Linked DNA regions of Callithrix jacchus. The main gene of each other region encodes a partner of the protein of the gene in region 2 in a complex. Links are inferred from orthologs where the notes say so. Each region holds a gene or a part of one and is shown on either strand. Other genes may lie near its edges.

Evidence for each region.
Region 1: GINS1 (region 2) and MCM7 share a complex: the UniProt entries of both Homo sapiens proteins name them as parts of the CMG helicase complex. The link is inferred for Callithrix jacchus from reciprocal best matches to the Homo sapiens genes GINS1 and MCM7.

Annotation. Positions count from the first base shown.
Region 1 is NC_133503.1:13,482,960-13,486,702, reverse strand, and holds the start of MCM7 (DNA replication licensing factor MCM7), read right to left. Parts: upstream 2,440-3,743; 5' UTR 2,343-2,439; coding exon 2,312-2,342; intron 2,064-2,311; exon of another isoform or gene 1,885-2,063; intron 1,589-1,884; exon of another isoform or gene 1,273-1,588; intron 1,134-1,272; coding exon 1,054-1,133; intron 739-1,053; coding exon 574-738; exon of another isoform or gene 570-573; intron 403-569; coding exon 278-402; intron 198-277; coding exon 17-197; intron 1-16. Other genes in the region: AP4M1 (AP-4 complex subunit mu-1), read left to right, coding at 2,764-2,821, 2,929-3,017, 3,719-3,743. UniProt on the Homo sapiens protein: Acts as a component of the MCM2-7 complex (MCM complex) which is the replicative helicase essential for 'once per cell cycle' DNA replication initiation and elongation in eukaryotic cells.
Region 2 is NC_133506.1:32,101,782-32,105,524, reverse strand, and holds the start of GINS1 (DNA replication complex GINS protein PSF1), read right to left. Parts: upstream 2,314-3,743; 5' UTR 2,292-2,313; coding exon 2,166-2,291; intron 1-2,165. Other genes in the region: lysophosphatidylserine lipase ABHD12, read left to right, coding at 2,541-2,731. UniProt on the Homo sapiens protein: Required for correct functioning of the GINS complex, a complex that plays an essential role in the initiation of DNA replication, and progression of DNA replication forks.

The DNA.
Region 1 (3,743 bases), on a different chromosome or scaffold from region 2:
CTTCCTCCACACGTACCGGCTGGTAGGTCTCTGCCCCGCACTGGTCACAAGTGTAAGTGGCCACTACCATCTTGGGTTTGACTTCAGAGACACGGGTGACGATTCCACGCACAGTCACCAATTTCCCCACAGAGTCAGCTCGCACATCCCGGATCACACGAGGCTTGTTGCTGCTTGGGCCTTGAAAATACAGCTCACTAAGAGGAGAAAACAGTCACAAACAAGATCCTGGAGTCACAAACCAATCCCTACATCCTTCCCAACAGAGACCACTCACAATCTGCGCATGAGTTCAGCGGGATACTGGTTCTGGGGGCTTCGGGCCATCCCAGGGTCCCGAGTCCGCTGCTCCATCATAAGCCGATGTTCAATATAAACATCCAGGACATCTTTATTTACCACCTAAAGGAGAAGAGCAGAAAAAAATGAGTAACAGGATGGGGAAAGGAGAGCACAGACAATGCCAGGCAGAAGTGCCCCTGCTTTCTGCCTGGCTCCGAAAACATCAGTATCTGAGAAGCTTCTTAACAGAAGCTGAAACGCCTTGCCCTGCATTGTTCTCCAGTCACTCACCTCCCTCTCCTTGTACTGAGGCAGCAGCTCTTGTACCGCATCAGCAAACAGCTTTGCGTAGCGCCTGGCATTCTCACAAATTGAGTCCACCAACTCAGGGTCATCCTCAGCTACATCATCCAGGTCCACGTACAGAGCCACCTGTTCCCTATGAGCCAGCCGAACCTCAGGTGGGAAAGAGACAGCAACACCTCAGAGCCATGTTCACTTGTTCAGTGTTCACGTGTGAAGATGCATCACTGAGAGCTCAGCACGGGCTCTGGGCATCCACAGGGGAGAACATAGCACCTCAGAGAGCACACTCACTTCTCAGCCCCCAAACTCTCTAATTATTATGAAAATACTATAGCATCACATTCTCTTACCAGATATCAAATGCCCTGATAAACATGTCAGAAAAACATCCTTGATGAAACAAGCCGCTTCTTAGGACTTCTTAAAACCCGACTCCTCATTCTCTTTACCCAATCTTAGACTCACCAATTGGTTCCCATACTTGAACTGCTTCTTCCCAAGTTCATCATCCTGGTAGAACTCTTGTAAGAACTTCTTAACCTTTTCTGTAACGTAAAAGGTAAAATCATAAGACACAAACTTTATATTACTGCCCATCCCTCTGACAGAAATCTAAGACGCCTATTTTCACTTAAAACACGATTTATGAACTAGTTAACGATATGAGCATTTAAATAAACCTACCGAATTCTCCCCAAAATGGGTATAACTCTTTTTCACAAGTTTGTTTTTAATCAGCGAAGAATAAAGAGGTCGTGGCAGTTCACAGGATGATCCAACATCGTCTTCCCAGGGGAATTCCGGTCCCTACTTTAAAACCCTAGCGCCCTTCCTCATCGGCGCCCCACACTCCGATCTCAAGGTTCTCAGCCTTCCTTCCACCCCTATGATCCCCCACCTTCTTTGGGCCCCTGAGCCCCTGATCTCGCCAGGACCTCCGCCATCAGGCGGGTCGCGCACCCCACCCCCGCTCCCGCCAGCGCTTCCGCTCTTAGTAAACAAAGAAGCACATGGGACCGGATTCCAGCCGCCTCACAGCCCGGGATTCCTCCGCCCAGGGCGGGAGCCCATCCAGCCATTGGACAACACGCCTGGGGCCGCCGCGATCCCAGCCCACTACCGCCTTTCCGGGGCACGAGCGAAGCTCCCGGTTCCCAGGCACGCCCCCTCCCCTGGGCCACAGCTCTCTCCGAGGCCGCTGCGCGGAAGGACACTGTTTACACGACACTCCCTCCATCCGCGTCGCGCCACTTCCGCCCGGCTCCACTTCCGCTTGGAGGGCGGCCTCAAACGGCCAATCCTGGTGCGTAGCGGCCCGGCCTGCCCGCCCCCAGGGCCTCCGCGCGCCTCGGGAGGACGCGGGAACTGGGGAATGCCCAAAAGCGCGGAGGAAAGCAGGCCCGGAACCCCAGAGTCCTTAGGGTACTCCGAGGTCTTGGGCGCGATTCTCCCCTATGCAGCACCCCCCCAGCCAGGTTAGCGCCCCCAAGCCCCCAACTCCATGACCCTAACACCTTTACTACGTGGGATTACCAGCTTTTCTTCAACATGGATGCCACCTGCGCCTCGTGGGCCTCAGCCGGGCGGCCGCCCGACCCTGCCTCTAGCCTTGTGGTCCCCAGAACTTGCTGATCCCGGCTCCACAAGACCCCAGCTCACACCAATAGGTGTTCCCCGGGAGGCTCCCCGCGCAGGACGCCCTCCCAGGCTCGTAGAGCAGTACCTTTCTCGATCGCGTAGTCCTTCAGTGCCATCACTACCGAGGCCCGTACGGCAGCGCTTGGCGGACTCAGAGGTCTGGGTCCCGGGCAAGCGGAGAACGTCCGCGCGGTGGACTGTGGCTGACCAACCGAAATTGGCGCGAAACGTCGCCCCCACGTGACCGGCGCCACTGCCTGCCGGCCAATTGCAGAGGCCGGCCCTCTCCCCGCCTCCAGCTAGCCTCAAGCCAATCACCAGGAGGACCTGGAATGAGTGACGGGGAGGCGGTGTGGGCGTCGGGAGGGAATCGCCGAGCTAGGCTGGGCGGGCGTCTGGTTTCCCGCGGTCCGAGCTGGCTTAGGCGGAGCAGAATCGCTCTTAAAGGGCCAGCGCACGCGTGTTCCTTTGTTCCGGGGCCTCAGGGCGGGGCAGGCCCAACTTTCGCCGTCTTCTCGTTTACTCTCCAGAACGGCCATGATTTCCCAGTTCTTCATTCTGTCCTCCAAGGGGGACCCGCTCATCTACAAAGACTGTATCCTAGACCCGCGGGGCTGGGAAGGGGCGGAGGTGTCGGGCGGGAGGGGCGCCCGGGGCCAGCCCGTGTCGCAGGCTTCTTCACTGAGTTCTTCCACCCGCCAGTCCGTGGGGACAGTGGCGGCCGGGATGTGGCCGAGCTCTTCTACCGGAAGCTGACGGGACTGCCAGGAGACGAGTCCCCGGTTGTCATGGTAACCACTGGCGGGAGGCGGGTGGGGAGCAGGGAGCCGGCGCCCACCTGGCCCGCCGGCTCCCTCCCAGGGCTGATTCCTTGGTAGCTTCCACTTGGGATGGGGTGCATTCTTCCATATAAAACTAACAAGAGGCCCGGTGTCTCATGCCTGTAATCCCAGCACTTTGGGAGGCCGAGGGGGGCGGATCACCTGAGGTCAGGAGTTCGAAACCAGCCTGGCCAACCTGGTGAAACCCCCGCCTCTACTAAAAATACAAAAAAATTAGCCAGGCCTAGTGGTGAGCGCCTGTAATCCCAGCTACTAGGGAGGCTGAGCCAGGAGACTCGCTTGAACCCGTGAGGCAGAGGCTGCAGTGAGCCGAGATCGCCACACTGCACTCCAGCTTGGGTGACAGAGCAAGACTACATCGGGCAGGGGTCGGGGGGGGGGGGACGTTGGGACAAAAAAAACTTACATCAGGTGGCAGCAAAACACCAGGCCCAGCTCCCTTTATGACTCCATCCTCAGCAACTAGGTGTAGCTACTGTAATTAACCCCGTTTCCACATTGGGAAGCTGGGTTCAGGAACCTGTCATGTATCTCCCGAAGTCACTGCTACTGTGACTAGTAAGAGGCATCGGGATCCGAGCTCAGGTCTCCTGGGTTCTGATCACCCCAGCTCCTTTTTCCTAATGCTACTCTACCTGCCTGTGTCTCAGCATCACGAGGGCCGTCATTTCATTC
Region 2 (3,743 bases):
TTTTACTCTGTCACCCAGGGTGGAGTGCAGTGGCATGATCTCAGCTCACTGCAACCTCCAAATCCCAGCATCCCGGGTTCAAGCAATTCTCCTGCCTCAGCCTCCCAAGTAGTCAGGATTACAGGCCTGTGCACCACCATGCCTAATTTCTGTTTGTTTGTTTGTTTTTGAGACGGAGTCTCTGTCACCAGGCTGGAGTACAGTGGCGTGATCTCCACTTACTACAACCTCCAACTCCCTGGTTCAAACAATTCTCCTGCCTCAGCCTCCTAAGTAGCTGGGATTACAGGCACACATCACCACCCCCAGCTAATTTTTGTATTTTTAGTACAGAGGGGGTTTACCATGTTGGCTAGTTTCGCTCTCCTGACCCCCTCTCTTTTTTTTTTTTTTTTTTTTTTAGGCAGAGTTTCACTCCAGGCTGTAGTGCAGTGGTGCATTCTCAGTTCACTGCAACCTCTGTCTCCTTGGTTCAAGCGATCCTCCTGACTGCCTCAGCCTCATGAGTAGCTGTGATTACAGGCATGTGCCACCACACCTGGCTAATTTTATATTTTTAGTAGAGACAGGATTTCTCCATGTTGGTCAGGCTGGTCTTGAACTCCCGTTCTCAGGTGATCCACCCGCCTCAGCCTCCCAAAGTGCTGGGATTTCAGGTATGCGCCATTGCACCCCGCCCTCCTGACATCTTGTTCTGCACGCCTCAAACTCCAAAAGTGCTGGGACTACAGGTGTGAGCCACCATGCCTGGCCTTTTTTTTTTTTAAACAAAAACAAAAAAATAAGTTTTGCTTTGTCGTCCAGGCTCTCTGCACTGGTGCGATCTCAGCTCACTACAATCTCTACCTCCCAGGTTCAAGGAATTCTCCTGCCTCAGCCTCCCAAGTAGCTGGGACTACAAGCGTGTGCCACTATACCTGCTAATCTTTGTATTTTTAGTAAAGACGCGGGTTTCACCATGTTGGCCAGGCTGGTCTCGAATTCCTGACCTCAAGTGATCTGCCCACCTTGGCCTCCCAAAGTGCTGAGATTACAGGCATGAGCCACAAACCCCCCCCCCCACAATGTTTTTAAAAAGTGTATGTGGAGATACTGCCACAATTATGAATGCAGGCTGTGGTATTTAGTAATACGGTCAATAAATTCTTTTGTAATTTCAAAGTATCATTACAAAGCTAATATAAAAAGCTGTTGAATTTCTACATGCATTTCCAATTGATCTTAAATTATCAGTTGCCAATAGTTTTTAAAGTGACAAATATTAAAATTTCCAAAGTTACTTCGGAACAAGTAAGCAAATATTTCTCTTGGTTGTAGATCATCTGCAAAAGTAATGCCGTATTAAAGGCCAAAGTTATAAAACGAAATTCGTGAAACTGCCCTTTCTTTCCTTTTCTCTTTTTAGGATGGGTTGAATTAGTACTTAATTTGGGTTTCAGGAGGGCGAATTTATCTCTGAAATGGATTTTCCTCCCATCAGTTAGTCTTAATTTCTTTTCTTTTCTTTTTTTTTGAGACAGAGTTTCGCTCTTTTTACCCCAACTGGAGTGCAATGGCGCAATCTCGGCTCACCGCAACCTCCGCCTCCTGGGTTCAAGCAATTCTCCTGCCTCAGCCTCCCCAGTAGCTGGGTCTACAGGTGGGTGCCACCATGCCCAGCTAATTTTTGTATTTTTAGTAGAGACGGGGTTTCACCATGTTGACCAGGATGGTCTCGATCTCTTGACCTCGTGATCCACCTGCCTCGGCCTCCCAAAGTGCTGGGATTATAGGCGTGAGCCACCGCGTCCGGCCCTTTATTTCTTTATAAAAATCAAAAATCTAGGCCGGGCGCGGTGGCTCACGCCTGTAATTCCCAGCACTTTGGAAGGCGGAGGCCGGCGGATCATGAGGTCAAGAGATCGAGACCACCCTGTCCACCATGGGTGAAACCCTGTCTCTAAAAAAGCAAAAAAACAAACAAAAACTATTACCTAATACAGGTTTTTAAAAAGTAAATTTCTCAAGCAGTTCATTTCCCCGGTGTTCAGCCCAAAGGTGAAAACTGAGTATCTATATACATTTGCTTCAAATTAAACATTGATGACTAGAAAGCATACTTTTAAATGCAAAGTCCTTGTGGGAAAAGAGTTAGGAATCACAAGAACACAACTGCGACTTGCTACCTGTGGGTTTCCGTTCGCAGAAGCGCCCAGCGCCCGGGCGAGGGCAGCCGCAGTCCCGCTAAGGAGCACAGAGCCCTGCCCTGGCGATGACGCGCCGCTTCGGCTTTGCCCGCCCTTCCGCAACATGGCTGCGGGTGGCGCCGGGGATGCTGGGCGCGCGCCCCTCGGAACCAGGGAGGCGGTGGCGGGGGGGGCGGGGCCGGCGGGAGCCCGACGCTGATTGGCCAGCGTGGCCGCCCTGCGCCGAGGCCTGGGCTAGGATGTGAGAAGCGGCGGGCTCCTGTGTCCCGGCTCCGGGTGCCGGCGGCTGTGAGCGGCGTAGGCGGCGGGCGAGGACAGCGGGCGCCGTCGGCGGCCGACCGTGTCGGTCGCGGGATGAGGAAGCGGACCGAGCCCGTCGCCTTGGAGCATGAGCGCTGCGCCGCCGCGGGCTCGTCCTCCTCCGGCTCGGCCGCCGCGGCGCTGGACGCCGACTGCCGTCTGAAGCAGAACCTGCGCCTGACCGGCACCGGGCCGGCCGAGCCGCGCTGCGCAGCTGACGCTGGAATGAAGCGGGCGCTGGGCAGGTAAGGCTTCGCTCGGGGCGGGCGGGCCCCTCACCGGCGCAGGTGTGTCCCGCTGGGGGCCTCCTCGCATCTCCCAGCCCTTCCCAGGGTGGCCGCCAGCCCCAGCAGCCGTCCCTGTTCTGTCCCGCATCTGGTCCGCGGCGGCCCCACCCCCGCTCCCTTCCCCAGGCCCTGCGGTGAGAACGCCCTGCTCCGACCCCCCACGTCCTCCTGCCGCCGTCGCGTCCTGCACTCCCAGCCCAGCCTTGCACCGCGACCCTTTCCCGGGGTACCCAAGGGAATTCTTCCGCTGGGGGTTTGGCGCCGCCCCAAGTCTTGACCCAGGGTAGGGGGCGGGGAGTCCTTGGGAGGTCCCTGGATGCCGGGCACCGCAGTGGCGGGAGGCGGAGGGGCGGGCGCCAGACCCTGAGAGCGCTGGGGCCGTCTCGGACATCCTCCTCCTCTGCATCCGGCCCCAAACCGAGCTCCCAGACGCTCGCCCCTCCGGTCGGGCTGCGTGCGCAGAGCTTTACTGGCGCCCTGGGCGCTCGGCGGCTCTCCCCTGTAACTACGGTCGGGGGCGTGCGCCGCTCAGAAGTGGGGGACTTTTGGGGAAGGGCTCAGTGGGCCGCGGGGTACTAGGGGAAGGAAGGACATGGAGCATCGCAGCCGTCAGAGGGGAACCTGTTCGCTTTGCTGGTGGTTCCTGGCGTTTGAAATCTGTCTGCACAAGTTCGCTTCCTTGGGGATCACCTTGCAGTGCTGAGTCGTTTGATTATTGGTGTTCTTTTGGGTAGGAGATGAATGCGTTTATATAAAGCCACTTTGAAAACTGAGATGGGAACATGTTTCGTACAGACAGATTTCTCCCATCTGCTGGTTTCCTAATTATCTGGCTGTTTTTGAAGCTTTGGTATTTTGTGGTTGTTTCAAGAAGTTATTATATGATGATCTCGGGCGTAGTAGCAGTCATTTCTTTTTTGACCATCTGGAATGCCCATAGTTGACGCTGGCCACTTAAGTGTAAAATATT